Linked DNA regions of Alligator mississippiensis. The protein of the gene in region 4 interacts with the protein of the main gene of each other region in a biochemical or structural test. Links are inferred from orthologs where the notes say so. Each region holds a gene or a part of one and is shown on either strand. Other genes may lie near its edges. The genes, in order: MAP4K1, DOK1, BCAR1 and CRKL.

What was found.
Region 1: the proteins of CRKL (region 4) and MAP4K1 form a complex in vitro, tested with the Homo sapiens proteins (2 studies listed by BioGRID). The link is inferred for Alligator mississippiensis from reciprocal best matches to the Homo sapiens genes CRKL and MAP4K1.
Region 2: the proteins of CRKL (region 4) and DOK1 form a complex in vitro, tested with the Homo sapiens proteins (2 studies listed by BioGRID, with this or other methods). The link is inferred for Alligator mississippiensis from reciprocal best matches to the Homo sapiens genes CRKL and DOK1.
Region 3: the proteins of CRKL (region 4) and BCAR1 interact in a test that uses a peptide from one of them, tested with the Homo sapiens proteins (2 studies listed by BioGRID, with this or other methods). The link is inferred for Alligator mississippiensis from reciprocal best matches to the Homo sapiens genes CRKL and BCAR1.

Annotation. Positions count from the first base shown.
Region 1 is NC_081838.1:1,988,794-1,996,132, forward strand, and holds the start of MAP4K1 (mitogen-activated protein kinase kinase kinase kinase 1), read right to left. Parts: upstream 3,003-7,339; 5' UTR 2,345-3,002; intron 1,918-2,344; 5' UTR 1,598-1,917; coding exon 1,490-1,597; intron 1-1,489. Other genes in the region: EIF3K (eukaryotic translation initiation factor 3 subunit K), read left to right, coding at 3,349-3,407, 3,525-3,623, 3,723-3,843, 4,035-4,109, 4,314-4,380, 4,996-5,073, 5,431-5,556, 5,745-5,776. UniProt on the Homo sapiens protein: Serine/threonine-protein kinase, which plays a role in the response to environmental stress. Appears to act upstream of the JUN N-terminal pathway.
Region 2 is NC_081825.1:325,315-333,217, forward strand, and holds the start of DOK1 (docking protein 1), read right to left. Parts: upstream 3,001-7,903; 5' UTR 2,935-3,000; coding exon 2,872-2,934; intron 2,555-2,871; coding exon 2,258-2,554; intron 1,863-2,257; coding exon 1,751-1,862; intron 1,548-1,750; coding exon 1,375-1,547; intron 759-1,374; coding exon 1-758. Other genes in the region: protein O-GlcNAcase, read left to right, coding at 7,020-7,267. UniProt on the Homo sapiens protein: DOK proteins are enzymatically inert adaptor or scaffolding proteins. They provide a docking platform for the assembly of multimolecular signaling complexes. DOK1 appears to be a negative regulator of the insulin signaling pathway.
Region 3 is NC_081833.1:41,203,365-41,211,006, reverse strand, and holds the start of BCAR1 (breast cancer anti-estrogen resistance protein 1), read left to right. Parts: upstream 1-4,632; 5' UTR 4,633-4,754; coding exon 4,755-4,766; intron 4,767-7,642. UniProt on the Homo sapiens protein: Docking protein which plays a central coordinating role for tyrosine kinase-based signaling related to cell adhesion. Implicated in induction of cell migration and cell branching. Involved in the BCAR3-mediated inhibition of TGFB signaling.
Region 4 is NC_081833.1:18,949,719-18,957,087, forward strand, and holds the start of CRKL (crk-like protein), read right to left. Parts: upstream 3,008-7,369; 5' UTR 2,907-3,007; coding exon 2,593-2,906; intron 1-2,592. UniProt on the Homo sapiens protein: May mediate the transduction of intracellular signals.

The DNA.
Region 1 (7,339 bases), on a different chromosome or scaffold from region 4:
GGGAGGATGCCCTGCCTGGGGGTCGTGGTGGGGCTGGGGCTAGAACCGGTGTGGGGTCAGGAGTGAGGGGCACCGGCATCAAGGGACAGGCCAATGTCACCTGTGACACTGACGGTCTTGCAAAGACCCGTGGTCCCGGTGCTCAGCCCCGGCTCCAGCCCCTGGGGCATTTCTGCTGGCAGCTGGGGCACCGGACCCTGTGCTGGAGCTGCTGGGAGGCAGGCGGGAGCACCTGCACCCGGGGCTGTGGTGCTACCGGCAGGCCCCCGGGGTTTCTCAGCAGGCACCAGGCTCCCTCCTCCCACGGCCCTGCCCCGTCAGCCTGCAAACCTCGGTGCCCAGCCTGTGCCCGCCTGTCCCACTGCCGCCCCAAACTGTTCTCAACCCTCCTCTGAAGCTGCCTCCCTTCCCAGATCTTGTGCATCTCCCCCGCAGAGGCACCCAGCTGCATTTCGGGGTCCCTGTGCAACCAGCTGCCCTGCCCCAGCTGCCCTGCCCCAGCCCAGAGGTGGCTGTCTTTCTAGACCAGCTGAATGAACAGCTTCCCTGCTCCACCCCAGAGCTGGGCGCATCTCAGCAGTGGGCAAAGGAGCCCCGCACAGCCCGCTGCCATGTTGCTCCCTCCAAGCCGCCATGTTTGAGGGGCACTGCGGGTCCCCGACGCTGTGGGCCAAGCGGCCTGACTCCAGCCGCGCTGGGCCCAGGGAAGCCTGACCCCTGCCCCCCAGCTGCCTTGACACGGTTTCCAGCGGGGCAGGCTGGGAGCCGAGTGGGTGTGAGCTGTGGTGCGTGGGGAGCTCGTGGCATTTCACACCCACTCCCTCCGGTGAAGATGACTGTGCACGGGGGGGGGGGAGGTGACAGGGACATCCGTTCCCACCCGCCGGGGCCCTGGGGACACCGTCCCCTTGACTCCGAGAGTCCACCCCAGCCGAGGGATCGGGCCCTACTCGCGCCCACGCTGTTTCCAGGGGGCTTCTGCTGATTTACGCCCACGGGGGTACGGAGGGAATCAGTGCCAATGCACTTCCTTCAGCAAGGCCCGAGCTGGGCCCTTCTCTTCTGCCCCTCCAAACCCAGGCGAGGGACCACGAGGGCTGTGCAAGGGGGCTGAGTCCAACGCCCGCAGCACCCTGGGCCCCGAGCACGACCCACAGCCGGCAGCAAGCACCTCCACACGCCTGGCTGCCCCAGGCAGGGGTGCAGGGGGTGCCAGCCCTGCTGACGCCTTCATCCCCAGCACTGTCCCGGGCAGGTGCAGGTCTTGGCCCCGCTCGGCCCTTTCCCCTCCTGCATCTGCTTTCGCCGCCGTGGCTCCCGGAGCTCCCTGCACCGCTTGCCCTCGCCCCACGTGGGCACGAAGGGTGACGTGTTCCCCCAGCACCCCAAAACCCTGGGGTCTCGGCAGGGTAGTGGAGACTCGTCCCCCACCCATGCGACGCTCGGCACCGCATGCAGGCAAGGGAGCGGGACGCATCCTCGGGCCTACCTTGTACACTTCCCCGTACGTCCCGCCGCCAACTCTCTGCAGCAGCTCGAAGTCGTCCTGGGGGTTCCTGGTGGAAATATCCAGTGCGGCTCGGTCCTGGGCATCCATGTCTGGGCGCCCGCCCGTGCGTGCAGCCTGCGGCGCCCTGCACCCAGGAGTGCGCGTGTGTGTGATCGGAGGGGCTGATAACGCTTGCTCGCTCGCTCGCTTTTATTTCCTGATTTGAGCAGCCGGGCGCAGCGGCGAGCCCAGGGGGCCCCCTAGACAGCACGTGGGAGCCCTGCAGCGCCGTGGCCCCGGGAGGCCGCTCCGCAGGGCCTCCCCGACGGCCCCAGGTGCGGGAGCGGCTGGCGTTGGCCCTCGTGCCCGTCCGTGTGCGCGAGCAGCACGCGTGTGGCGCCCGGCGCGGCTGTGACACCTCGCGGCGCCTGCGGGGAAACAAGGAGACGCCCTGCCATCACCTGCTCTGTCCCCGCTCGGGGGCAGGATGTCACGGCCGAGCGGCCCCCCCCAGCCCTGTCGGCGTGGGGGGGGGCAGGGACCCGGCGCCCGCCACCCAGCCACACCGGCAGCAAGGCAGTGGCAGGGAGGGAGGGGCGTTTATTAATTGAGTCCAGCGTTTATTTATTAATTGATCCTGGGATCGTTGCGCCCAGTCGGCGGAAGGGGCAAACTGAGGCACAAAGAGGGGGGGCTTCGAGCGGCAGCTCGGCAGGGCTGAGCTCTGACTCCTAGCCCCCCCCACCCCTGCTCCCTTTTTGCCGGACCCCCAGCCCCACGGCCCGCCCGAGATGGGAGGGGAGCCCCGCCCTGCTGGGACCACCGGATCCCTCGCAGGAGCCAATGAAAACGTACCTGGAGCGCTGCTCTCTGCTGCTGTTGCTGGGGTGGGGGGGGGAGTGGAGGGGATCAGTCCTGGAGGGGAGGGGGCACCAGGGGGGGCTGCCACCCTGAGGGGAGGGGGCAACTGGGGTCAGTTTTTGAGGGGAGGGGCATCTGGGGTGGGAGGGGGCACTTGAGGGGGTGTGGGGGGGCAGGCTGAGGGAGGGGGGCGGTTGGGGGGAGGGGGGCATGAGAGGTGGGAGGGGGCACTTGGTGGTGTGGGGGGGGCTGAGGGAGGGGGGCGGTTGGGGGGAGGGGGGCATGAGAGGGGGGAGGAGGCACTTGGGGGTGTGGGGGGGCAGGCTGAGGGAGGGGGGCGGTTGGGGGGAGGGGGGCATGAGAGGTGGGAGGGGGCACTTGGGGGTGTGGGGGGGCAGGCTGAGGGAGGGGGGCGGTTGGGGGGAGGGGGGCATGAGAGGGGGGAGGAGGCACTTGGGGGTGTGGGGGGGCAGGCTGAGGGAGGGGGGCGGTTGGGGGGAGGGGGGCATGAGAGGGGGGAGGAGGCACTTGGGGGTGTGGGGGGGCAGGCTGAGGGAGGGGGGCGGTTGGGGGGAGGGGGGCATGAGAGGGGGGAGGAGGCACTTGGGGGTGTGGGGGGGCAGGCTGAGGAAGGGGGGCGCTTGGGGGAGGGGGGCAGTTTTTGAGGGGAGGGGCATCTGGGGTGGGCGGGAGCACTTAGGAGGGGAGGGAGGGTCTGGTTGCTAAGGGTGGGTGTTGCCTAGCGACGGCAGCGGGCGGGGGAGCGTGGGCGTGGCCTGCCCGCCCAGGGGGCGGGGCCTAGCGGGGTATTTCACTGCGGGCGGGGCTTTCCTCCCTCCCCGGCCCCTCCTAGTGCGCACGCGTGTCACGCCGGCCCTCCCCGCCCCAGCATGCCCGGCGAGGCCCGACGCCGGAAGCGGAAGCTGCCGCGGCCGGAAGAGCCCGGCACCGCTTTGCTCCCGCTCGCGGCCCCGGAAGCCGCTGCCGCCGCGCGCGCCATGGCGCTGTTCGAGCAGATGCGGGCCAACGTGGGCAAGCTGCTCAAGGGCATCGACCGGTGAGGCGGCGGCGGCGGCGCGGGGCGGGGCGGGTGGGGGTAGAGCTGCCTGGCTGGGCCGGCGGGCGGGGCGGGGCGGGGGGAGTCGTGCTCAGCCGCTGCCGCCTTGTGCCCCAGGTACAACCCGGAGAACCTGGCCACGCTGGAGCGCTACGTGGAGACGCAGGCCAAGGAGAACGCCTACGACCTGGAGGCCAACCTGGCCGTGCTCAAGCTGTGAGCGTCGTCTCCCCTGCCACACCCTGCTTTTGGGGGCGGCGGGGGGGCACCACGCGAATCCCCCCCCCATACTAACACGTGCACCCTCCTCCTCAGGTACCAGTTCAATCCAGCATTCTTCCAGACCACCGTCACCGCTCAGATCCTGCTCAAGGCGCTGACCAACCTCCCGCACACGGACTTCACCCTCTGCAAGTGCATGATCGACCAGGCTCACGTATCCTTTTATTTCCCCGGGTCAGAAGCAGCGTGTGGCTGCCCGCTGGCCGTGGGAGGGCTCGGAGGGGTCTCCCTGCTGCTGTGGGCGTGACACTTGGCCTCCCTCGAGCCTTGCGGCTTCTTCCTCCGCCCGGGGGTGAACTCGGGGGTCTGCGTTTGCTGTTTTCCCCCTTGACCCGCTCGTCGCAGCAAGAAGAGAGGCCGATCAGGCAGATCCTCTACCTGGGGGAGCTGCTGGAGACCTGCCACTTCCAGGCCTTTTGGGTGAGCGTTGTCCTGCCCTTCTGGTGCCCTGAGCCCGGGGAGCCTCCGCAGCGTGAGCGTGCGCCCTCCCTGCCCCCGTGCCTCCTTGGCGGCACCCCTGTAGCCGCTGCGTTGTGAGCTCGTGGCCTCGGGTCAGGAAGCGTCCGTCTCTGTCTCGGTGTTTGCTAACCGACGCGAATGCACGGTTCTTCCTTTGTTTTGCAGCAAGCCCTGGATGAGAACATGGAGCTGCTGGACGGGATCACTGGCTTTGAGGACTCTGTTAGGAAATGTGAGTGGCTGCTGTCCCCTCTGCTCTGTTGCACGATCCCCTTTGGGCAGACTCAGACTCAGGTCCAGGTCCCGTCTCCGGCTGTGACAGGCTCCTGCTGTGTCCCTTGCTGCCCTCGGTGCTCTGCCAAGTTGTGGGTGTCTGTCTCGAGTCAGCGGGAGCACGTGCTCCTCCTTCCCCCAACACCAGTCAGCGACCAGGGGGTGCCTCACAAGCGACCTGACTCTCATCATAAAAGCAGCCATGCTACTGACAGTCCTGCTCCCCAGGCAGCACTTGTAGGGGAGGCACTGGTGCTCTTGCCTGCCCGCTGGCTAAACGGGGAGTGCAGCCTGACCGGGAGGGGGGCGGGGGGTGCACCTCCTACGCGTTGCCCCTGTGCCAAGTAGTGTGAATTCCCTGCAGCAAGGATCCTCTTCGTGTCTGGCACATCCGGACGGCGATAGAGACCTGGAAATGTGTTGTCCTCCCTTGAGCCAGCAGCCGCTGAGCCCCGGAGCACGTGTGGGGGCAGCAGGGCACAGCAGAGGGGTTCAACAGCTTGTTGTGCATCGGGGGATTGGGGCACGCCTGAACATGTGCCAGTAGCACCAAGTGTCCGTGTTCCTTCCACAGTCATCTGCCACGTGGTGGGGATCACCTACCAGCACGTTGATCGGTGGTTGCTGGCGGAGATGCTGGGAGACCTCTCAGGTAAGTTCCCCAAAGGGAAGCCAGACCCCTCTCAGAAATGAGCCCCTCGCCCTACATCCAAAGTGGATCAAGGGAGTCTGTGAGCTGTACTGCTACTGGTGTGACTCCAGGCTGTTTGGGTTGGGTTTTGGGAATGCTGTCCCAGCTACAGGGGTCCTGGGGCCCTTATTGCATGCGCTGCTGAGCTTAGTCACCCTACTTGCTCTCCACTGGCAGTCTTAGGGCAGACTTGGTGCTTTATCACTTCCCTTGAAGATCTACTCTGTCTTGGCACCCCCTGCTTAAACACATGTGCCTTCGTACCTCGCCTTCCCTGTGCCAAACTACCATTGGCTCATTCCCTTGGCTTCTCTACAGACAGCCAGCTCAAGGTCTGGATGAGCAAATATGGCTGGACAGAAACTGAGCCTGGCAAGGTCTTCATCTGCAACCAGGAGGAGAGCGTCAAACCCAAGAACATTGTAGAGAAAATAGACTTTGACAGTAAGCGCCGAGGCCCCACTGGTACTGAGGATGGGGACAGGGGTGTGGATCTGGCTGGAGTGAGTTGTCCACAGAGGTCAAGGTCCTGCCTTGGCCCATGGGCATCTTCCCTGGGCTGAATTCTTGTGGACTGGAGCACATGGAGTCACTGTTCTGGAGTTTAATTTGTTTGTCCTCCCTTCTTTCAGGTGTCTCCAGCATCATGGCATCTTCCTTGTGATGCCCCTGTTGCCCACTACCATCTGTGCTGCTTGTGAGAACCTGCTCTGGGTCTATTTCTTATTTAATTCCTTTTTAAATTTTAATCCAGCCCTGGCCAATAAATGTTTGGAGAGATCTTTTCTTGTTTCCTCTCAGGGGTGGGAGGATGGGGGAGCCCCAGCTCTGGGTAAGGCTCCTGGGGGGTGGGAGTGCTGTTGGGCTGGAACTGGCATGTTGCCCAAGACAGACTCTCTCCTCTGGACAGTTGCTGGCTGGATTGAGGGTCCACCCTCCCACCCCCAGCCACGAATTGGAGGAATAATGACCTCCTCTTTCTGCCGCGGAGCACGAACACTTTGCCCAGCTAGGGAAAGAACCCGGGACTCCTGGGGTGAGGTAACCAGCCCCACACTAATAAGCCTAAGTAGGACTCCTGGCAGCTGGTCCTGCTGTCATTACTCTTCTGACCGCCAGGTGGTGGTAGGTGGCCAATAAATAAGAACCAGCCTGTTGCTGACCTGATCATGCTTCCCCTTGTGGGGAGGGCCTGAGCCACCGCAGCCGGCCTGTGGTCATGGTGCTGCTCTGGGGGTTGCCCCCTGAGGCCTCTTTGGGGCAGCAGCTGCCCAGTACGGGGACCCTGGAGGGAGTCTCTGCCTGAGAATTGCTATTCAAAGGCCTTAAGGGAAAGCAGGGCTTCTGGGTTCCATGGCTGAGTCAGAAATGGGCACCCTGGGATTCACAGCACCGCTCCTGCATGGACCTGGATCTTGCTGCTGGCCAGGAATTGTGTACCAGGCATGGATATTTGTGGGGGATCTCTCATCAGACCAACTTTGTGGGGTGGTTAGGTGATCCTTTTGCAGGCAGGGTATTCTTCCTCAAGGCCCCACGAGAGCAGCTCTGTGCCCTGTGCTGGGGAGAGGGGAAGAGGCCTACACTGTTGCTCTTTGCCTGGGAGCCGCCACATCTTTGCTTTGCGGCATCGGGTTCTCTCTGTGCTGAGTTGCAGCTGCCATGCATGTCTCTGGCTCTTTCAGTGCCCTCAGCAGGCTGTGGCAGAGCTGGCCTCCATCCCACTGGCCCTTGAGCTACCTGGGAGACCCTGAGGGTCTCTATGTGGTTCTGCATGGTAGAAAACTGGGGGAAAACCCTGTGGTGCTGAGCTGCCTGCTGCTTGCCTCCCTTTTTTGGGGATGTTTGCTCTAGGTTGGGGCTTCTGAACCCAGAGCAGTGTGCGGCCCCTCAACCCCGTCTCCTGCACCCCAACTCCTTACTGAGCTGCTGTCATTCAGGCCAGCACTTTGGGCAGACCTTGCCTTTCCATTTTACCACCTCTGGTGCAGGTGGGGTGGGGATTAGAAGTGCCTCACACCCTTTTGTTGCATCCTGGGAGCCCCCTCATTATAAACAGTGGCTTCCAGCCAGTGGCTAAATATATACATCGCAGGAATGTTCAGCATCTCGCAGGCAGGAAGCGGGAGAGCATAACCCCTGCTCCTTTGTGGAGCAGAGAGAAAAACAAATGCTGGGAGGGGGGGTGGCGGGAGAGAAGAAAAATGCTGATACGATTTGAGAGTGG
Region 2 (7,903 bases), on a different chromosome or scaffold from region 4:
GGCACCGAGTAGTCGGAGTTGGGGTTGTAGGGGAACTCGTAGCCATCCCGGTCGTCCAGGCCCTGCGTGCGCCAGGCCTCGCCCAGCAGCCGTGCCTCATCGTAGATGCAGATGGTGTCGGGCAGAGGTCGTGGCGCCCGCCCCTCGGGTTCGTCATAGATGTGCTCCTTGCAGCGTGGGGCCGGCCCTAGCCCTGAGCCTGGCCCCGGCCCCGGCGCGCTACCCACAGCCCCCAGTTTGCTGTCAATGGGGTCTGAGTACAGTGGGTCCAGCCAGAGCCGCGGGCCCTTCACCGAGTCCAGGGGCTCCGAGTACAGGCTGGACATGTCCTCGGAGGGCAGCACAGGCCGGGGCACCTTGGGCAGCGGGGAGCGCGGGGGTGTGCTGGTAGGCGCAGGCTTGCTCTGCGGCATCGGGGGCTCCGGGAGGCTCCGGGTCTTCAGCAGGCTCAGGGCGTCCCTCTCCTCTGGAGCGGCGCTGAGCCGGGGAGCCAGCCCGGCCTTGGGGCCTGCAGGGCTGTCGCCCTCGGCTGGGAGGTCGAGGCTGAGCGAGTCGGCCAGGGTGCTGCGGATCTGCATGACACTGGGGCAGTCCGCATCCAGCGAGTCGCAGCTCTGCCGGTGCTCCTCCGCCAGCGTCTTCTGCTCCCGGATGGACGCCTCCACCAGACGGAAGATCTCGTTCCCCTGCTTGGTCTCGAAAGTGAAGTTCCCGGGGCCGGAGCTGCAGCGCCGCCCAGCTTCAAAGGAGAACATCACCTGCCGGGCAGGTCAGCTCAGGTCAGAGTCCCGCTCTGCTGCCGGCTGACCCCTGGCGCCCAGCAGAGCCACCTGCAGAGGGGCAGCACCAAGCCGCCCACCCACAGAGAGGCCTGAGTGCACACAGGTGCCTGCAAGGCAGCTCGGCCCCCGCCCACCCTCCGCCAGCTGCTCCAGCCCCTCGCCGGGGCGCAGACCCGCCTCTGCCTGGTTCCGGCCAAGGCAGGAGGAAGCAGACAGGCTGCATCACTGCTGCTGCTATAAACAGCTTCCCTCCCAGACCACTTCCTCCCACCCAGTCAGGGTCCATAGGGTGGGAAAGGGCCACGCAGCACACAGGGTCTGGCTGCACCACAGCTGGGAATGATGGAGGGGGCAGCAGGTGTGAGGAGACCGTGCGCTGCCAGCGGACATGGCAGGGGTCACGTGGACAGGCGGGGGCCCTGGCACAAGGCCTTGGCAACACCTTGTTAGGGAAGCATGTGCAGCACGGGCCAGGAGATGGACACTGAGGGGGCAAGTGCAGAGGAGTAGCCAGGCCCGGTGGGCTTGGTTCATCAGTCTATTAACCTCCTCTCTCACTCCGGGGTATCCCAAACCTTGCCCCGCAACCCACCTTGTCACGCCCATATCTCCGGAGCAGCCGGTAGGGCCACACGTAGAGCGTCTCCTTCGTCTGGGGGTCGCGGAGCGCCAGGCCGTCGCGCTCTGCCCGCAGCTGGTAGGTCCCGTACAGCCCACAGCGCTCGGCCGCCTCCGTCCTCTGCACTGTCACCCAGAAGCTGTTCACTGTGAAAGGGGGAGCCGGGGCAGTCACGGGGCCTGGCAGGGCTGGCGACCCCAGCGCTGCGCAGAGGGGCACAGCCAGCGTCCGAAGGATGCCCCGAGGCGGGCACGGGGGCCTGAGCCCAGGCACGGCCCAGGGCGGGGGGCGATGCCCCAGGTTGGGGGGCTCTGCCCTCGCAGGACCCTGTCAAGCAGCCCAGCCCTACCTTCGTCCCGTGAGTAGTAGATGGAATTCACGGCCATCTCCAGGGCAGGCGCTGCGGCGCTGCCCTCCGCGCTGCGCCCGCCCGGCAGCCGGCCCTCGCCGCCCGCATTGCCCTGCCGAGCAAGCGAGACGGACCTCAGCACCCGACGCCAGGGGCCTGCCAGCTCCAGGGCTCCCCATGCCCCCCACACACCCCCACCCCGAGAGCATGGGTGGGCCGTGGCCCCGGCTCCCCACGGGCCTGGCCGGGACCAGCTCAGAGCGAGGGCTGCCGGCAGACGGGGATGCCCTCCTCGCTCCCCATGCCCCAGCCTGGCAGGAGGGGGCGGGCGCCTCCGGACCAACCGCAAGCAGAACTGAAAGCGTGAGCCGGGAGCCACGTGGGATGATGCTGCGCCACAGGCAGCGGCAGGCGGGTCGGCTGTCGTGGAAGGGCAGGGGCGCAGCAGTGGCAGTGCTGGCCCCAGCGCGGCCACGTGGCCGTGGGCCCGGCACCCCCCGTGCTCACCCCGAAGGCGATCTCGCACAGCTTCCCCACCCACTCGGCGCTCTGCTGCTTCTGGGCGGCGAAGAGGTAGCTGCGGTCGCTGGTCTCCAGGCAGAAGGTGGCCGTGCCATCCTTGGGGCCGCTCTCGCTGGCGGGCGCCACGCTCACGCAGTCGGCCAGACGCACGATCTTCTTGTCCAGCCGCTTGGTGCCCGGCTTCTCGCTCGGCGCCGCCGGGTCCTTGCAGTCGAAGAACTCGAGGCGCGCCACGCCGTGCTGGCTGGCCGGGTACAGCACGAACCAGCTCTTCTTCCAGCGCTGTGCCACGCGACACCGCAAGGCTCAGGCTCAGACCCGGACCCTGCACCGGGACCCGCACGGCCTCCCCCCGCCCGCGCCGGGAAGAGGAAACGGCTCTTCCGCTCGGCCCGGACCCGCTTCCCCAAGCCAGGGGGGGGCCCACCCGGGACACGTGGCGGAGCCCCCGGCCCAGCGCGGGCGGGAAGGGGGCGGCGGGAGGAGGGCGCCCGGCCCCGGCCCCGGCTCCGGCCCCGGCCCCGGCCCCGGTCCCGGTCCGGTGGGGGGGCGGGGCCGGGCGCGGGCGCGACCCCGGGGGGTGTGGGGGGGGCGCTGACCTTGGCCCCGAACTTGAGGCTGTGCTGCACGTAGAGCTGCCCCTCCTTGGCCGGGGGGTCCATCCCAACGCCGCCGCCGCCGCCGCCGCGCCGCGCTTCCTGCTCCCGGGCCGCGCCTCGGGGCGGGGCGGGGCCTGGGCGGGACGGGGCGGGGCGGGGCGGTCGGGGGCGGGGCCTGGGCTCGCGCGCGTGCGAGGGGCGTGCACACGCGCACGGCCACGCCCGCCCTGTTGCGCCGGGCTCCCACGGGGGCTGCACACGCACACGCCCCCCCGGGCGGGTCCCGGTCCCGGTCCCGGTCCCGGTCCCGCAGCCGGGCGCGGCGCGGGGATGTCGGCGCGGCCGGGCCCGCTGTGCGGGGTGGTGGAAGGTAGGCCGGGCCGAGCCGAGCCGGGCCGGGCCGGGGGGGCCGCCGCCGCGCCGCGCTGGGGCAGGCAGGCACGCGGGGATCCCGCTGCTCAGACCGGTGCGCACGGGGGGTTCCCCTCCCCCCGGCCCAGCCCGGCCCGCTGCAGCCCCCCCCCCCCCGGCAGCAGCAGGACGCTGGCGGCCGCGGCCCCCGCACCCCGGAGCGATGCCGGGCGCCGTGTCGGGGGCGTCTGTGTCTGCGTGTGCTGGAGCCGGGCGCGGGGCCGGGCGCGCAGACAAACCGGCGCTGGCTTGCGTGACCCCGCGGCGGGAAGGCGCGTGGGGCCGGGCCGGGCCGGGCCGGGCCGGGGAAACTCTGGCAGAGCGCCGGCTCCGCCGCGGACCATCCCGCCGCAGAGAGCGAGGGACACGGACTCCCCCGGCAGGGCCTGGGCCCGGTGGCACGGGCGCTGCGGGGCGCAGGTCTCGGGCCGGGCCGGGCCGGGCCGGGCACCAGCCCCAGGAGCCGCGCGGGGCCGGAGAAGCCGCGTGTGGGCGGGGCGGGGCGGGGCGGGGGGGGGCGCGGACACGCAGGCCTCTGCAGGGCCCGGTCCGGGAAGGGGGCGAGCGATCTCCGGGGCTTCTCCTCGGGCCCGTGGCTCCAGGGCAGCTGGTGCAGGTGCATGGTTGCAAGGTGCCTGGGACCATCCAGGCTTGGAGAGCCCCACGCGTCCTTCCCCGCTGTGCGCCTGGCCTGGGCCCAAGCCCCTGCCACCGCCGGTGAGGGCCCGGGGCTCGTGCGCCCAGCCGCGCCGGACCTTGGACGGCTGCGCAGGGGCTGACAGCACCCCGGAGGACGCAGGGCGGGGGGCGTCGGCCGTGCCAGGTGTCAGCGGTGGCGGCCGGCTCCGAGCCCTCGCGGCGCCGGGTCAGTGTGAGCCACGTGCACGCCCGTGCGGAGCAGAGAGGCGGCCCCGGCGTCCAGGGCGGCCGCGGCCGCGGCCCGGGTGCGCTCGGGGCCGGTGGAGGCTCCCGGAGGAAAGGAGCCGTCGCCATGGAGACCCAGCTCCTCCGAAACAGGCTGGCAGGGAGCCCGGGAGAGCCGCGCCACGCTCTGCCGACACCCCAGCCGCCCCCGCGTGTCTGCCTGGGCATGGAGCCCGCCCTCCTACGTGACACCGTCCCCGGTGCCCCAGAGCACCCGCCGGGAGCACGGGGCGCGAGCCCCTGGCAGGTGGGGTGGGGGGTGCGAGATGCATCATTGCACAGAGCCGCGTGCCTTTCTCATTAACCAAGAGCGCTTTGCTGTCGTGCCGGGCCCAGCGCTGCGCGATCCAGCTTGAGAGCAAAGCCAAACCAAATAGGACTTTGCTGGAGCGAGTGAGAAAGAGTGGCGGGGCTGCGCACAGGAACGGCAGAGACTATGCTGCTGGGGCGCCAGGGCTGCTAGAAAGGAGACAGGGTGGTTAGCACCCGGGGGGCGAAGGGTTTAGCAGGGAGATGATGGTGAGCTGTGAAGTCTCAGCCCGGGCTGGGTTTCCACTGGGGGTGGAGCAGGAAACGAAGGTGCAGCCCTGCACCCGTCCCTGCCTAACGCCACGGCAGGGGCCAGGTTTCAGGTGCACACGGGACAGTGGCTGACACCGGGGCTGGGCCCGGGGCCTTGTCCCTTTGCTTCCCCTTCTCCCCTGAAGAGGTGGGCAGGGGTGGTGTCCGACCCAGTGCCGGGGTTCCCGGGGCCTGGTGGGCGCAGGGCAAGGGGCTGCATGCGCGGGGGGCGGATGCCGCTGGGTGCTGGGAAGAGCGTCGCTTGGCCAGGCAGCGTATTCACACAAAGTGCCACTAAAGGGCAGCAGAGAGGCAGGCGCAGAGCTCTGCTGTGTACCAGTGGCCTGTTGCACCTGTGTGTGTGTGGGAGTGAGGAGCAATGCAACATGGGATGCCTGTAGGACGGACTGGACCCACGTCCTGTGACACCTGATGTCCACACATCACGTGGACCCAGTTGGCAGTGAACCCGTTCAGAAGAGCATTCGGTTTTCCAGGCATGCTTTTGAACCATTCCAGGTGGATTTAAACCAGATTAACAGGCTTGTCCACTTTGGGTTTAAAGCAGTCCTGGTGCCACGTGTGTCCATGCCCGGGGCTCCTCAGTGCCACGTGGTGGTGCCCTCGGCCGCCAGCCACGTGCCTCACCAGATGGCTTCCGGCACAGCCTGCGGCCATGGGAGGGGCAGCGCCGGGACAGCAGCCGCGGGCAGGGGAGCTGTGTGCGGGGCTTGCATGTGCCCGCGTCCAACTCCTGTCCTCTGTCTCGCTTCGCAGGCTTCTATGGGAGACCGTGGTCCATGGAGCAGAGAAAGCTTCTCTTCCAATGGCAAGTCCCTGCGCGCCGGCGTGGAGGCCCTGGTCCGTGCGCTCCGTCGAGAGGCCGCAGGAGCCTGCGCAGCGGCAGCAGCAGATGCCATCTCCCGTGCAGCTCTGACGGGTGCTCGAGCTACCTGTTGCTGCGTGTGTCCATTCACCCTCCCTCCCTCCGGGGTTCGCCACCACAAGCGTGGCACTGGGCGAAAGGGCACAGCGCTCCGTTCCAAATCCTCCCTGGTTCCCCCGCTACATCCTCTCTCTCTGGGCAGCCGTGCCCAGCTCCCCCCAGCTGCGTGGGTGTGGGCAAGGCACCGGCCTGGGCCCAGGAGAACCAAGGGGGTCCCTTACAGTGTGGGCTGAGGGGCAGAGCAGTTTGGGGGCCAGATGGCCAGGTGTGCATCCAGCTCAGTCGTATGTCGGAAGTGAAGCATCCCACCATGGTGCCTTCACTGGCTCGGGTGGTGCCAAGGGTCTAGGGTTTCCCGGGGTGAGCATGGGTGGTGGAGCTGGGAGCCCCACTGGGCCTGGACCCTGCAGCACGCCAACATGGAAACCTGTGAGATGCTGCCTCCACACTCAGGGCTCCAACCTCGTCGCTGGCCCACGTTCCCAGCCAGACGTGGCCTCTGCCGGAGCATGCAGTCCTGGTGCCAGCACCCGGGGCTGGGCCCTGGACACAGGAATGGCCACGGTGGAGTCACTAGTCGCTCAGCCTGCTGGGTCTCTGGTGCTGGGACAGCAGGGAGCAGGAGGGGCCACGCTGTGCCACACAGGCCGTGCCGGGAGCCACCCCTGGTGGGGCACATGGCTGATGGCTGTTGGCACCACCACGTGGCACCGTGGAGAGCGCAGGAGGCAATGGGAGCAGGAGCATAAGGGAGCTGATGGAGTTGAGGCTGAGGCCCACAACATCAGGGTGGGCTGCGGAGGGGTTCGATGGGCCGGGAGCCCCCAGGGCGGGGGGCAGGTGTCCTGCCTGGTGAGAGCCTGGCCAGGGCAGGCCTCACTGGAGAGGGGAAGCCGCCCTCAAGCACAGGCCCCCGAGAGCTGTGGGTGCAGCGGGGTCCCATGGCACCATCAGCCCCAGGTCCTGGTCCCCACAGCGCTCAGCAGGGGGCGGTGGTGCGCTGCAGCTGTGGGGGGTGATGACGGCCACGCTGCAGACGTGGGGGGCTGCTCACCAGAGATGGGGTGATCCTGGTCACTGCAGGGGGGTGCTGCAGTAGCTTTGGGAGGGGCATGGGGATGGCAGCCACGGTGTGACCAGGCGATGAACACCTCCCTGGGAGGCCCAAGCCAGAGGGTACTGGCCAGCCCCCCTCACCTCTGGGACCATGGCCGGATGCTGAGCCCGGGCTGGGGTCTGCCATGGAGAGCAGGTGCTCCAGGGGGATGGGGTGGGGGCCCCTGGGACAGGTCTGCCCACCTGCCACATGCCAGGCCCCAGGTTTTGCGCTGAATCTACAGGGGCGGGTCCGTGGCGTCCTGACGGCAACGTGGGGAGGGCTGTGCCAGTGCCCGGAGGCCAAGGCAGGGCAAAGCCACCGCTGGAGCTGGCCCCCAACCTGAGGGCCCCGCCGCCTGCCTTTGCTGGCCGGCGAGAGTCCCATGCCACGGACGCGCTCCTGCTGGTGTTGTCCAGCGAGGATCTGATCTGTCCTCACCACAGCAGCCCGCGGAGGTGGGCAGAGCAACGAGCATGAGGGGCATTGGGGCCCAGAGATACCTCCTCCAGGGCCCAGGCTGCTGGCTGGGCCTGCCTCGTGTGCACACACACATAAGTGTGCACATGTGTGCGCTGGGGGTTGCACCCAGGCAAGCGGTGCCTCTGGAAAGGAGTCAGGGTTGCTGCAGACACTGCCGGGTACATGGGAGCAGGAGTGGAGGGAGGGAGACAGGCCAGAGGCGAGTGCAGCCTCTGGATCAGGACCACGGCTGGGTTGCGCTTGGTCAGGGCAGGCAGAGAACGGCCCCTGGCCGACCCGAGCCCCTGCCAGGATGGGCACAAGCCTGCCCCTGCCCTGCTCCCGCCTGGCAGCGCGTGGGGCTGTGGCCCCAGCGTGTCCCCAGCTGCTGCCTGCGGGCACATCTCAGTGAGGGTCTGCCCGGGCTCCGCAGATGGATGCTGGCACCGGCCCCGGGCAGCGACGGGATGGTGTGGCGAGGCCCAGCTGTGCAGCACCGCATGCAGCGCCAGTCAGGTTGGCATGGCCAGTCATCGTGTCCGGCACGCTGGGTCATCCCCACACAGGTCCTGAGCCCGGTGGGGCTGGACCGGTGCTGTGGGCTCAGAGGCTCTGTGCAGTCATTGTCACCG
Region 3 (7,642 bases), about 22 Mb from region 4:
AACTTTGATCCCCAGGAAGAGATAACATAACATGAAAAAAAATGATTTATAAGTACCTAAGCAGGGGTTGGCTGGTATTAAATGATTTCCTGAACAGCCAGCACAGGCCAGTCCTGATACACATAGGGATTGAAATTCCAACAATAATGTCCATTCCCATGCTACAATATAACTTCAGAAAGGCTAATTGGGAACTTTTTACTGAGGATATTGAGCGCACTGTTTCTCAGATTCCACCAAAACCTGAAAATTGTGAGTACTTTACCAAGCTTGTGCTCAAAGTGGCCTGATCATACATCCCCAAGCATTACTGGGTGGAGTACACTCCATGGTGGCCTGAACAATGCAAATCTCTGTTCCAGGAATTCTCGGACTCAGGAAACCCGGAATGTGGCAAAGCTCTCTTGAACTTGCTGAATGAATCCAGAAGACAGATGGACCAAAGCAATGGAGTCAATAGACTTCACACACTCAAGCCATAAAGCTTGGAGCCTCCTGAGACACCAGAAGCAGCACCACAACCAACAAATAAGATCATCAATATATCCGTAAATGCCATCCCCTCAAAAAAGCTGCTGGATAGAAAGACCATTACAGATCACCAGACTAGACAGCAAGTAAGGGCTTGACTCCATCAATCAATGACGTAGTGTAGAGTACAACAAAAACAGCCCAGTCATCTCCCTTCACTGAAGAAGAGGTCATTGAAGCCCTAAGAGCTACCAGATCATGGAAGGCTGCAGGATTAGATGGGATCTACCCCGAGTTCTTGAAACATCTTGGCCAAAAAGGAGGCTGTTGGTTGGCCAGACTCTTCTCCAACATAATAGCCACAAGCAAAATTCCCAAGATACAGTAACAAGCAAAGGTCATTGCTATTCCAAAACCCAGAAAATCAACCATGGACCCAAAAAACTTCCGCCCTATATCCCTGCTTTGTACAATATATAAACTTCTTGAAAAAATGCTACTGGTTTACATGTTTTTCATCTTCAAGGTTATACCAGCTGAACTGGTTGACTTTCACCCTGGACACAGCACTAGCAACCAATTGCTGGCACTCATTACATATATTGAAGCCAGGTACCAGTGCAAAGAGATCACGGGAGCTGCCTTCATTGATTTATCAGCAGCTTATGGCAAGATGGCCTCCTCCTGAAGGCGTCAAGGGTCATCAGGTGCCAGCAGGTACTCTGTCTTTTATCAACACTCCTGTCTAACCAGCAATATCACGTCCATCTAGGGAGCACTGTCAAAAGAACCTGTCTACTAAATAGTGGTCTCCCACAAGGATCAGAGCTTGCACCAGAACTTTTTAATGTATACATAAGTGATCTTCCTGTTACCACCAGCTGGAAATTCGGCTATGCTGATGACCTGCTGCTTGCTACTCAAAGAAGGACTCAGGCTGAAGTCCAGGCAGATCTTTGCAAAGACCTCAAATTGCTTGAAGAATATTGCGCATGTTGGAGACTCCACCCAAATCCAAGGAAAACTGTCGTCATGTCATTTCATCTAAACAATGCCCACACTGACCAGAAACTTGCCATCACTTTCTGTGGAGAAGAGGTTAAGCATGAGAAGTTCCCAAAATACCTTAACTTTCAATTGGAGCCTCACCTTTTGTGAACTTCTATGGAATGTTGCTAAAAAAGTGAAAGCCATGAGTTAAGCTTGTGCATAAACTGGCCGGAACGACGTGGGGAGCAAATACAACCATGCTTCAAATGGGCACTCTGGCACTTGTTTTCTTTGCAGCAGAATAAACAAAAGTGTGCACACAAAAATTGTTGATACACAGTTAAATGCAGCTATGAGGATTATATCAGGAATGCTAAAAAGTATGCCATTGCCATGGCTTCCAGTCCTAGCAAACATTGCTTCCCCACAGTTCCGCCACAATGCCACATGCATGAGGGAATACCATAAGGCCACCGGTAACCCAAACTTCCTAATCAACAAGGACATCACTATGCCACCACCAGATAGGCTCAAATCTAGAAAACCCTTCTGAGAAATAGAAATACACCAAGCTCTATAATGATAACAAGAGCACCAAAGAACAATGAAGGGAAGCCTGGGTAAATACCAGCTTGCCACAGAAAAACATCATCTGTGATCCTACACTTCCCCAGTCAGAATTTGACCTACTAAGAAAGATTTGGTCCTCCCTGAATAACATCTGGACACTTCATGGAAAACGTGGGCACCTACTCCATAAATGGAGAATCAAAGAGACTCCAAGTTGTTATTGTGGTGCAATTTTTCAGATGATGCAACGCATTGTGAATGATTGCCCAATTAGATCATTTAATGGAGATCTAAAATCAATCCATGCAACTACACCTGAAGCAGTTGAATGGTTATCAAATTTAGATATTAATCTTTGAATGTTGTAATCCTAAAATGTCATATGAAAAAAGAAGAAGGGGTTGGCAACCTTTTAGAGCAGCAGGCTACCCCTTGTAATCTGGCTGCTGCCACAGGGTGCCAATCCCTGCTCCCTTGTGCTATGGGTCTCTCTTCCCCTCTACGGGACTGTTGTTGTCTTTGCCACAAAGAGACTTCTATGTGGACTATATAAGGCTTTTCACACTGTTTCCTATGACATTCTCATAAGTAAGTTAAGGACAGATAACATAAATAAAACTCTTTAGGGTGGGCTCATAACCGGTTGGCTAATTATGCTTAAAGGGTAGTTATGGCTCCATGTCAATTGGGAAGAGTTATCACATGGGATTCTTCACCTTTTCTTCAGTCCACTATTAAATATATCTTCATCGATATCTTGGAGGATGGAACTGAATATGCAGTTAGTAAATCTGTGGGTGACACCAAGTTGTGTGATGTAGCAGACACTTTAGATGACAAGATTAGGATTCAAAATGACCTTTTGTATATTGGAGAAATGGTCTAAAATAAATAAGAGGAACTGTAGAAAGAACACGTGCAAAATACTACACTTAGGGCCCTGCTACATATTCAAGTTGAAGCTGGATAGAAACCAGCTATAGAGTTGCACCACATATTCAAGCGCTAACTTTATAGCTGGATAGTAATTTTTATCATGTGATAATTACTTTTGCATGCATAGCTGGTCTAAGTTTATTGCACAATTAACCAGTTAATTCTGTGACAATTACTTTGCACTAGTGGCCAATCTTACTTTGCACATGTGGCCTGTCAATATTTATTGTGTGATTAACCAGCTAATTGTATAATATACTAATGTGTAGCAGGGGCCCTAGGAAGAAACAATCAATGCACACAGGGAAAATGGAGAATGACTGGCAAGGCTGAAATACTGCAGAAAGGATGTAGAGATTATAGTAGACTGCAAGATGACTGTGAATCGGTGGTGTAATATTGTTGAGAAAAAAGCTAGTAACTTTTATTACTGTCACATGCAAGTCATGGAAAGTGAGTCTTCCACTCTATTCAGCACTCCAGGGATCTCACCTGATGTACTCTGTCCGGTTTTGGTCACCACCCGTTAAGAAAGATGTGAATGAATTTGAAAGATTCCAAAGGAGAGGCAAGAAAAGATTAGAGGTCTAAAAATGTGACATGAAAACAGTGTGGAAATTTGAGATAATTTATTCTAGGGATGAGAAGACAAAAAGAAAGATTGGATGACAGTCCTTCAGTACAATAAAAGGTTGCTCTGTAGGGCTTAAATATGAGATTCACGGTAGACAGAAGAACTTTCTAACTCTGAGTGGGGTTTGGCATTGAAACAGATTCCCTAGAGACAGGTCATCATGTCTCCATCACTAGAAGTTTTTTAATGCACATTAAACAAACATTCTTCGGGGATGGTAGAGACAGGGAGGATCCAGCCTTGAGTAGGAGTTTGGACAGTAGCTGATCTCCTGAGGTCCTTTACAACCCTGTTTTTCTGTGAATCTGTGACTATCCAAGCACACAGACAGCATATTCCACTCTGCCTTGCAAGGACCTTGCTGCCACACAAGCACACAACCTTCATTGTCACCTCTGTCACACGCACACACAGACTGCATAGCGCATGTCATATACATGTGCGCATGCAGACTGCAGTCCCCTCACACGTGTAACATGCGCATTGCACAGCCTGTCACACACATGTGCACACAGTCACACAGCCCTGCCACACACAAGTGCATGCACTTACTGCACGATTTAGTATACACATGTACACGTGCAGATGGCACGGCCCCTTCACACGCGCCACGTGTGCATACAGATTGCACAGCCCCGGCACACACGCGTGCACAGGCGGACTGCGCAGCCGTCCCACACACGCTCGCGTGCATGCACTACACAGCCCAGGACACGCGCGTGTGCACGTGCCAAGGGCAGCTCCGTCACGCCCATGCCTCCTCCACACGCCTGTGCACTAGCAGCACCACCCGTCCCACGCTTGTGCAAACAGAGACCACCAAACCTCATCACACGTGTGCGCAGCGCCTGGCCCGGCCCGGCCCGGCCCGGCCCCGCCCCGCCCCCGCGCACCGCAGCCAATGGGCGCGGGGAGGCGGGCACGGCGGGCGAGCTGCGCGGTGCCGGCCCGGCCCAGCCCGCCAGTCCCGGCGCCGCGCGGGGAGCGCTCGGCTGCGGCGGCTGCGGCTCCCGAGCTGAGCTGGGCGGGGCGGGCTGCGGTGGGGCCGCGCGGCCGGGGCGGGGACCGGGGCAGCCACCGCCACCGCGACCAACTTTCCTCCCGGCCGGGCGGGCCCTTCCCGGATCGGCGCCCGGCCCGGCCTGCGGGGAAGATGAACTACCTGGTGAGTGCCCCCCCACCCCCCCGGCTCTGCCCCCCGCGCTGTCCCGAGGACCTTCCTGGGGCGCCCCGGGCCGGGCGCAGACAATAGCGGGTCTCCGGGGTCGGCGGCGGCTGGAGCAGGCGGGAGGCCGCGGGTCCCGTGTGGACGGCCCGGGCGCTCCGGCTGCAGCAGGGCCGGGCTCCCCCGCCCGGGGGTGACAGCACGGGCCCCGCGCCGGCTGCCTCCCCGGCCTCGGCGCGGGCAGCCTCCCCCGGTGCCCCCCGCCGCACGCAGCCCGCGCTGGCCCCCGGCTTCGGCCTCCCGGCCGCGGCGGCTCCTAGGCAGCGGCGCGGGGATCTTCCCTGCAGGGGAGTGAAGGGCAGCTGCCGAGTCTGCCGTGCTGCCAGCGCAGGCTCCCTGGCTTATCCACTGGTTTATATTTGAATGTGAAGCTCTGGAGAAACGGCGCTGTGGTTGCAGCAAAGCTGAGGCAGAAAAGGACTAAACGCCCAGCGGTTTTGGGGACCTAAAGCTGTTGCAGTTCTGTAGCTGCTTAAGGACCTTTGAGTGACAAGTTTGCAGAATCGTAGCCCAGTTCTCGGAGGACAGATGTGCCTGGAGTAAAACCCACCAGTGGCGTCGGTGCTAATCGGGCACCTCAGCTAGTGGGAGGCTGGGGCCCAACTCCTTCTCCCCCGCATCAGGCAGACGCATGTTGCAGTTGCGTTCGTTTGGGGCCAGCAGAGTGCTGCACTGCTCTGTGCGTGGATGTTGGCAGCAAGGCATTCAGGGGCATGCTTGCTGCTGTTGTCCCTGCCGGGAGGCTGTGCAGAAAATAAGACTCCAGGCTCTCAATCTAACACCATATGTATGCACCTCCTAGGCATCTGGATGTGGTGGCTGGAGGGGGTAATTACCTGGATGAAGGAGAAGATTGAAGCCATGATGTGGAGAATTAGCTTGTTTTAAATCAGAGGCCTTGGGGTCTATTCCTCCCCCAGGTCGTCCTCCTCTTTTATGGTTGGACCCTTGCTTTCCCCCCCAGGTTAACTTCTCCATTTAGCCCCTTCGTGCCAGGTTCTTGCAGTGATTTACTGAGATGACAGTTGCCATCTTGGCCTGCAAAAGCTTGACAAGCAACTTCCCAGACCTGCTCTGACCAGTAACACATACTCAGAAGGTTACACAGCCAGTTCATACCTGCATGTCCCCCATGTCCTTGCAAGCAGTTTTGCTACCCAAAGTCATGCAAGAAGCCATTGGCAAAGAGGCCAACTTCCAGGGCCTGCCCTAACTCCCAAGCAGCAATTTTCTTACCACAACCTTGACCCCATCTGAGAATGAGACTTGCTGCAATTAGAACAGGGGACAATATGTGCGGTTTCCTTCTCCCACCCTGCTGGGATATTTCTGTTTCCTGGAGGAACCTTGCCCATCTTCTTTTCCTGCTTCCCACCATCCACAGGATGATATCATTGAGCTACAGCTGCCCTGTGGCAGTCACCAAAGCAAGGAGGAGTTTCGTGCAGGCATTCCCATGCCCTCTTGCTGATCCCAGGTGCAAGTGACTATGCTTAGCAGCACATGGGTCTGGATATCTGGGCCCACAGGGCTGCTAGGCTCTCTTTCCAGCCTCTAGTTCCTCTCCTTCCATGATGGGGCAGTGGTCAGAGACTGTAGCATAACTAGAGGCAAGCTTGCTAACAGGATTGCTGGCTCAGGGCCAGTCTCCTTTTTAAATCGCCCTGTGTTTTTCATGGTTAAGTGACAGCTTGGAGGTGAGACCAGTTCTGTTCAGAATTATCCACTGTTCAAATGGTGATAGGGTGAAGGGGAATGGAAATAAAATGAACCCAAGGCCAGAGCCTAGGATCAGGTATCATGACATTTGGGAGTCAAGGGCCAGCAGTGGAACAGGCCAGGCCAGGGCTTGGGTCAGAGGCAGAGGTTGGAAGTCTGGGCACTAGGAGAGTTTTATTATCCAAACTGTACTGTGAAAGCTGAAACACCATAAAGTGGGCTGAGTGGCAGTCTGCTTGATGCCAGGCAAAAGTCCCATGCAAGGTGATGCCACTGTGTTGCCCTCCTTAAGGTGGTATTTGCCATTGCTTCTCCACACTCTTCTATAATTTGATGGTTTTAGAAGGCGGCTGTTGTAAAACAGGGAGGGGAGGGGGAGCTGGGAGTCATTGGCACATCCAGTGGTGCGTGTGAGAGCATGAACGTCCTCTCAGTGCACGTCAGCAAGCCGGCTGGCTCCAGCAGCAGTGTAGAGTACAACGTTAATGATTCACTAGGAGATAATCAGCAATTGCCAGGCCTGGCAAATCTTGCTGTGTGAGTACAGTATAGGGCTGGGGGAAGGGAGAGATTTTTTCATGTGTGATTACAACATACAGTGCCAATGGGGCAGCTTGAGGAAAGGATCATTTCTGGCATTAAAAACCTCCTGAAACATTGCTTCAGGGTGCAAGAGAGCCAGCATAAGGGCAGTTGGCTTGCCAGGAGCTTGCAAATCACTTTTCTCCTTCTGTCCATTGGAAATTCTCGTGTTGGTGCAGCACCAGATTCATACCCCTTGTCATGGTGCTCCTGGGTGACCAGTCAGGCCATCTTTGCAAACCACAGGACCCTGGAAGTGGAGCACTGGTTTTCAACTTTGTTAGACTTGGAAAATGCCAGCTCTTAGCTGTCTCTCTTTTTTTTGACTACAGAAAAATAATAGAGCAGTTCTTCTGTTGCAAAGCACTCAGAAAGAGCACAGCAGGTCGGAATGTTTTCGGCACTATGAATTCCTATTTGAAGTCACTAGGTTTATCTTGTGTAGGTGTTTGCACAGCTAACATGGCTGATAGTGTGGGCACTTCCTGGCACCCTGAAAAGGATCTCATGGCACT
Region 4 (7,369 bases):
CTGGAGTGAGCACAGTATGCAGCACGCAGGGTCATCCTGCAATACCCGACGTGCTGCCTGTGGGTGACTGAGATCCATGGGCAGCATCAGGGGCTGGATAATACGGCTCTGTGGGCTGGATTTTGACCATAGTCCATATTTTGGACATATCCTCCACCCCCGATTTACAGCACATTCATTCACTTACTATCCATCTTCATATTCACTTTTTCTGAGAATAATTCACAATTACAACTCACCAAAATGCCTCTTCAGTACTTTGCCCACCACTAGTCCAACATGACTTGCGGTAATTACTTGGGAAGTACAAATGTAAATGAGACAGAATTTACCAGTGAGAGTTAAACAACATGGTAAGAAACCCTGTGGCTGGTACTTTAGTGCCTTTGTATTTGCATCTTCACTTCTCTTATACTCGCATAAAAAGTACAAATCTAGTTACCATGAAAAATATATTACATAGCGGACAATTTTAATGCTGGCTGAAAGTGAAGAGCAACCAAAAGAGGGCATGGAGGCTGTTGCCATGATGGACAAACTCTTGGCCAATTCAAAATAAGGTTACCGATATATAGATGATTCTGAAATGTTTACTGAAGTATAGTGTCAGCTCTCGTAAAGAAAAATGCTACTGTACATCAAATGTTCACTCACTATACAAACAAGCAGTTCTGCGTTATGCATAATGCCCTTTTCTACCCAACCAAGGTCTTGGAGGGAGTAACTTCACTGAAGAGAAGAGCCAGTGGATAACGTATTCTTTAATATTACATCTTGACCTCTTCCTTCCAGAATGTGGCCTCTTTTTAGGAAGACTTTACACCCTAATGAAGTCACTGAATTTCTAATCTTTAGTACAAAAATTCATAGTAAAGATTTAGACAGCTTTGGGTACAGTATGATTTTTCTTGTAATGAGTCCAAACTGCAGTATTGCAATAGTTACAGGAAGCTCAGCAGTTCAACATAACTGACAACCCAACTCTTTTTGTAGGAAGAGGGATTTATTTCTATGGTACTTTTGCCTGCATATTAATATAATTGAAGCAAATCCACCCATGCATAATTTGAGACCTCCAAACAGATACCAGATGCACATTTGTCTGGATCAAGTCTAATAGGATCAAAATAGCAAATGGGTTAAAAGAAAACCCAGTCACAGAACAGCACCCAACCAGCAACTGAAAGCAAGTAAAGACTGCAAAGGAGCGTCACCAACGAGCCACATTCCTCCACTGACAAACTTGTACAGAAATGCTGGACATCTCCATCCAACTGCTCCTGCAGCTGTGTAGGAGCATCAGTGAACGTCCAGCCCAGGCATCTTCCTGCCAAAGCACAATCGTTACCTATACACCATTTTTTCAAAGTTTTAAGGAATGACATTTCTACCACATTCCTTGGAGAACTGCTTCCTTGCTTGCTATCTCGACCAAGAAGCTTTTCTTGACAGCTCCAAGCTTTCCTCCTTCTTCAGGCACTTATTCTTTTGGACAAGAATATTTGACCCTTAGTAATTAAAGGCAAAGCTAAATCTGGCTCCAAATCTGATCAAGAATCAATTTAGGTGAATAGGAAGGAGTAGAAGTCATGAGCAGATGCAAGCAGTGAGAATTTTAAACTGCTCAAATAGAGGAAGGAAGCCAAAACCCCATTTTAAAAAAGCAGCACTTGGCCTATCAATATTTGCTTCTATGTTCCCTTATGATTCAGCTGTACGGGTCTGTACTGGATGCAAAGAGCTGGGAACTGCCTCACACATCAGGGCAAGCACTAGCTGACCAGTCACACTAGCACAGCTGGGGCAGGGGTCACATCAACATGGGTCAGCACCAGTTGCAAACGCCACCCTCCCCATACAAGAAATCAAACTTTTCCAGCCCTAAGCCGCAGGCAGGGGGATGCACATGTTCAGATACAGAGCCCTTCCACACCACAGGGTCAGATGGACAACGGCAGGTCCTTCAACCCCCCACCATAGGGAGGCTCGGCTTTAAACGCATGGAAAATACAGTCCTAAAAAACAGGCCAAGGACCATGAAGCCACCACCTAGAGCAGCTCTGCCAGGTAGGGTTGCCAACCCTCCGGGACTGCCTTGCACGCTCCAGGAATTAAGATATAGTCTCCAGGAGACTGCGGAGAGTCACCTGGGGGGGCGATAAATGATAAGGCATTCATTAACATAAACATTAAAATGTTGAATCCGACTTATGCAGCAGTCCAGTGGGTTTTTAAAACGTAAGTTGGTAAAATGCGCCTTCCCGAGTACAGCAGATCAGTCATGAATGTCATTACATCATGTGATGAGTCAAGCAGGGCTGCCCACCGCACTGCCAGGGCTTAAAACCGCCCCAAAAGGCACAGGCAGGAGAGGGCCGCAGCAGGGGGAAGCCGGCGGTGCCTGGGCCGGGCCCATGAGCAAGAGGCAGCACCCAGGCCCCGGGCGGACCCGCTTCCAGCGCCGGCCACGCCCTCCCCGCGGCCGCAGCGGGCCGGGCCGGGCCCATGGCAGCGCGGCGCCGCCTCACCTGGGCGCACCTGGACGGCGGCGCGGAGGGGCCATGCGGGGCGGGGCGGGGCGGGGGTCCGTACCTGGGCGCGGGCTCGATGAGCGTGGTGGTGTCCAGGTAGTGGATCTTGTAGAAGTCGAGCAGCGCGGGCAGGTGCTCGAACTCCTGGTCGCCGATCTTGAAGCGGCGGTTGGGCAGCGAGTTGATGATGTAGTGCGAGACGCGCGAGTTCTCGGACACGGACAGCACGTAGTCGCCGGGGCAGGTGGACGAGTCCCGCACCAGGAACATGCCGTGGCGCTGCCCCTGCAGCCGCGTCTGCGCCTCAGCCCGCGACACGGGCCCCACGTACCAGCTCGAGCGGTCCGCCGAGTCGAAGCGCGCGGCGGACGACATGGCGGAGGCGGCGGCACTCACAGGCCAGGCCGAGGGGCGAGTGCGGCTGGGCGGGCCGGCGGGTGGGCCCCTGCGTCTCCCTTAGCGGCGGGGCGTGCGCGGCATCCTCCCCTCCCCTTCCTCTCCCTTCCCGCCCCTTCCTCTCCCTTCCCGCCTCGCGCTCCGGCTGCTGCGCGCGCCGAGAGCCGGGCCGGGCCGAAGGGCGCTGCTGGTGCCGGCTCCGGGGCGGGCTGCTGCTTTATCCCGGCGCTCGCTGTCCCCGGAGCCAAGCGCCAAAATGGCGCCTTTCGTGGCCGGGGGGAGGAGGCGCTGCCCCGCCCCGCGCACGCGCCCTCCGCGGCCCCCGGCCCCTCCCCGCGCCAAGCGCGGGGTGCGGAGGCCGGGCCGGATCCCCCTCGCCGGACACCGTGAGGCGCTGCGGCCCGCGCCCCGCGCCCCCCTCCCCCCGCAGGGCGCGGCGCGGCCGGGCGCGGCCCGGGGCCATGTGGCGGGGCAGCCCCGGCCGGCGGCCATCTTGTCCGCGGACCCTCTGGCTGGGTGTCCGCTTTCCCGGGCCGGCAGCACTCGTGGGGGCTGGGGCGGACCGGCCTCCCGGGGAGGGTTGCCGATACCCTAGGAGGGGCCGGCCCCAGGAGCTGCGCGGGGAGGGAGGGACGGGGTGTCCGTAGGGCGGCCATCGTAGAGGACTCTCCGGTTGTCTGCTCCTATGTTGATACGAAACCCGATGCCTTTATGTGCCCTGTTTTTAGGCCTTCGCTTCAAGAGAAAAAGAGAGGAGACATAAAGGCATCCGGTTCTGTAGCAATAGAGGACAACCGGACTGTCGTCTGTGATGGCCACCCTACCCCCACATCGCCTGGGGGCCCAGGGTTGGGTGGCGGACGCTGGCGGACCCACGGCTGTTAGGGTCACGTAGCATGAGCGCGCGGCAATGGGGCCTGGAGCCTGGGCACGAGAAACCAGCCGTGGTAAAAGCTGGTAGCTTGCGCCCTCCCGGGCAGCGAGAGGCCCAGTCGCTGCCCTCTGCTTTGTCGTGGCCCAGAACGTCGCCGCACCCACATGCCTCGGTGGGTTCGAAACCGCCAGACCAGGAAGCCCACCCTGAATTTGGGGGCTGTGTAGTGATTTTTCTGGAGTCCGACTCACGTTTCCTTCAACTTGTGGGGTTGGCGCCCTGGCCGCAAAGAAACACGGCACTGAAATGTCAAACGGCTCTTCGCATTAAGAACTGGACTGAAGACAAATAACCTTTCGTTACTAATTGGACCCTGTTCAGGGTTCGTTCCAGCTTGAATACCGCATCTTTCTTTCCCTTGTACCCTGTTGCTGCTGATTGTGCTCCTATGTTTGGCAAGTTTCCCAACGTATTTTGCTCTTTCTATGGCAACTGGTGTAAAGCCTAAATATTGTAAGTTGGAAAATAGGGGCTGTAATTTTATAGCACTTTAACATGGGCCTAACAAAGAAAAACTTAACAAAACAGGAACTTATTTTTAAAACCTTAAATTATCCAAGAAACAGCTGCACACAACAGCCACGCTGATAGCAGGGGTCACAATTTTTCTGGCAAAATTAGGTAAAATTATGCTAGTTACTTACAGTATAACTGTTAACTCATAAATAGTCCAGCAGGAATCCAAATCTTATTACTGAAACTTTCATAACTGTCTAATTCATGTAAGGTGGAAATTGCATCAAATCCAGAACCTCATTTCAACTAGAGTATCCATACCAGCCTTGGTATAAAAGGCTCCCAAAGACCCCCCCCCTAATTTTACATGTACAGGTATCACCGTGTCAACCACTAAAATACAGTCATCTCGCAGGAGGAAAATGACATCTGTAACAGCCTACAGTAATATGTACTAACTACATTGATTAGGCCCAGGTGTGAAGAATACCAATTACAGCTTCATATCATTACAGCTTCATATCTATGCCATAGCTCTCTTGGAAAAGATGCCTAATAATTTTGCCTTGGGTTCAACTCCTATTAAGAGTTCACAACTCTAGTTGATTAGATTGTGAAATTCATAAAATTGCCTTTCACCAATTGAAACATGGGCTTCAGTCATGTCTCAGTGTAATTATGGCTGAAATAGGAAACTTGAGAAAGCATTTTCACTTTATAATATTTTAGTTAAAAGCATTGTTGCTGTATTAGTGCTTCTAAAATACTTGATAAAAAGCATTATACACACAACTCTATTACAAGCATTATGAAATTAAACCTCATCACTGAAGTAGGCAAGTATTATAATCTCGGTTTTACCAAAGGGAAAACTTGAGGTAGAGAGAGTGGATATGTCTAAGGCTACAGTGATTAAGTGGCAGAATCAGGGACAGTTAAAAAACAACAGTGAAGAAGTTAGTGTTAATTTCTTACTAATTCATCTTTCACTTTCTAATAAACCAGATCATAGCAAAGGGATGTGATAAGCTAGTTCAAGATTCTATTCCAGTTTTGTCTGGACTCTCTTTAGTTAGTAAAGCAACTAAAATGTCAAGAGTAAGCAATATTTTATTAGAAAACATATGTTGGTCTAGTTGTAATATCTTTGCTCTGGATAGGTAGCGTGGGAACCAATCTGGAATTTTGTGCTGTATGGAACTGAACTACTTCCTACCTTGCTTTCTTGAGTGAGAATGAAAGAACATCATCTCTTAGACAGAGAAGGATCCAAAAATTCTAGTCCAGAAGGGACTACTGCAAACCTGCATTTTTTACTTCCTGCATACACACAGGCTGCTGGACTTCTGTGAAGTAATTCCTGTTTCTAGTTAAACAGCTGTAGCTGAATTAGATCCTGGTTTAAACTAGACCCAGTCATGACTTGCTGACAATCACATAACCGGTGAGCTGGGAGTGACAACAGGACAGGAGAGGATGGAATTCTTTATTTTGTTTTGGTAGTGAACATTCAAAATCCTTTGATTGAAAATAAAGATGATGAAAACGGATAAACCAATTTTGAAAGTTGGATTTTTTGGTGATGGGTTGTTTTGGAAAAGGGAAATGGCAGGAGAAGCAGTTCTGGAACAAAAGCGGAGGCAGAAATAAGCATTTTTCTCTTCCAAATGTGAAACCCTGAAAAAGTTCAGTAAACAAGTTCACTAAAATTTGTGCAAATCCAGCAAAAATCCAAACAGCAGGCTGCAAACTGTGTTAAACAGCTATGGCTTCAGCCAAAGTACTGTATAATGTTATGTTGCATACTTGAACATAATAGGGAATCTTAACATTGGACCTTTGCACCCTGATGGTTATGGCAATACTTTCAGTACAAATACCAGTGGGCTGTGGGCTTGGTACCTCTCTGATTTAAAAGACAGTTTAGAAATGTCAAGTACCTTTTTGTTATAGCAATGCAAATAGAATGAGGAAATCTGAAAAGATTGTTTTCATAGAAGCAGTTTAGCTTGTGTAATATCAAGGGTCCCAACTACTGTATGCACCATGCTTTTCTCACAATCTTTAAAAATGCTTTTACTAAGTCATCTCTTCACTTCTTGAACCTTGTCATTGGCTTCCTCTTCCTGCATTAGGTTTGACCTCCTTATCCTCACCTTCAAGATATGATCTGGTTCTTACCCACATCTGTGCTTTTTTCACTCGCTTCACTGCTGCCTTCATACTTTTCATCCAACTCTGGGCTTGAAGCATTCTGTCATACCATTTCCTGCATCTGAACCAGATTGTCTTCCTTTTTTCAACAGCAATACCCAGTTCTGCCCCCTTCAAATCTCTCTTCAGTGACTCCCTTCTTTCCCATCTCAAACTATTACTTTTATATCATCCCTGTTCTAAATCCACTGCCTCCATTTTGAGGAAAGCACATTGTAGCACACCCTGGGTTTGGGCTCTCTTAACTGTAACATTTTCTAAGGGTTTAAAAGGTGCTTTGTGCTAAATGGAGCTGTGTGTCAGGATTGTAAATGCATAGGAACAATCACCTCTCTAATTCTGTATTTTCACTCTGCAGTTAGGGGTAAGTGAAGCCCTGTCCTTAGCATTTAGAGCTTGAAGCCTGACTTTATGTTCTTGCTGTCATTACAGTTATTGCAGCAGAAGTGGATTTCCTGACATTTTGAGATGTCCTTAGTAAATAAGTAGAAAAGAATATATGGGTTCAATGATGAGACTTCTGCATATTGAACATCATTACTGTTCTGGGGACAACATTACAGGAAATTAGATAAACAATTGAATAAACTCAATTATTGACCTTCCCAATATATCAGTAAGATGAACTTTTCAGTGTTTAATTACTTGATCTGACCAGAATAAAATACTTATACTTTATTGGTCTGAACATTTAAGCTCTTCCACAGGTTTGTTTTCCGATTTCTAGAAACGTTTGTACTATGCCATTGTCACCCAGAACTCCCTGAAAAGTAAAAACACAAGGCTGACATATTCAGGAAATCATAGGAATTAAAATAACTGAAAACTGGGTTAAAAC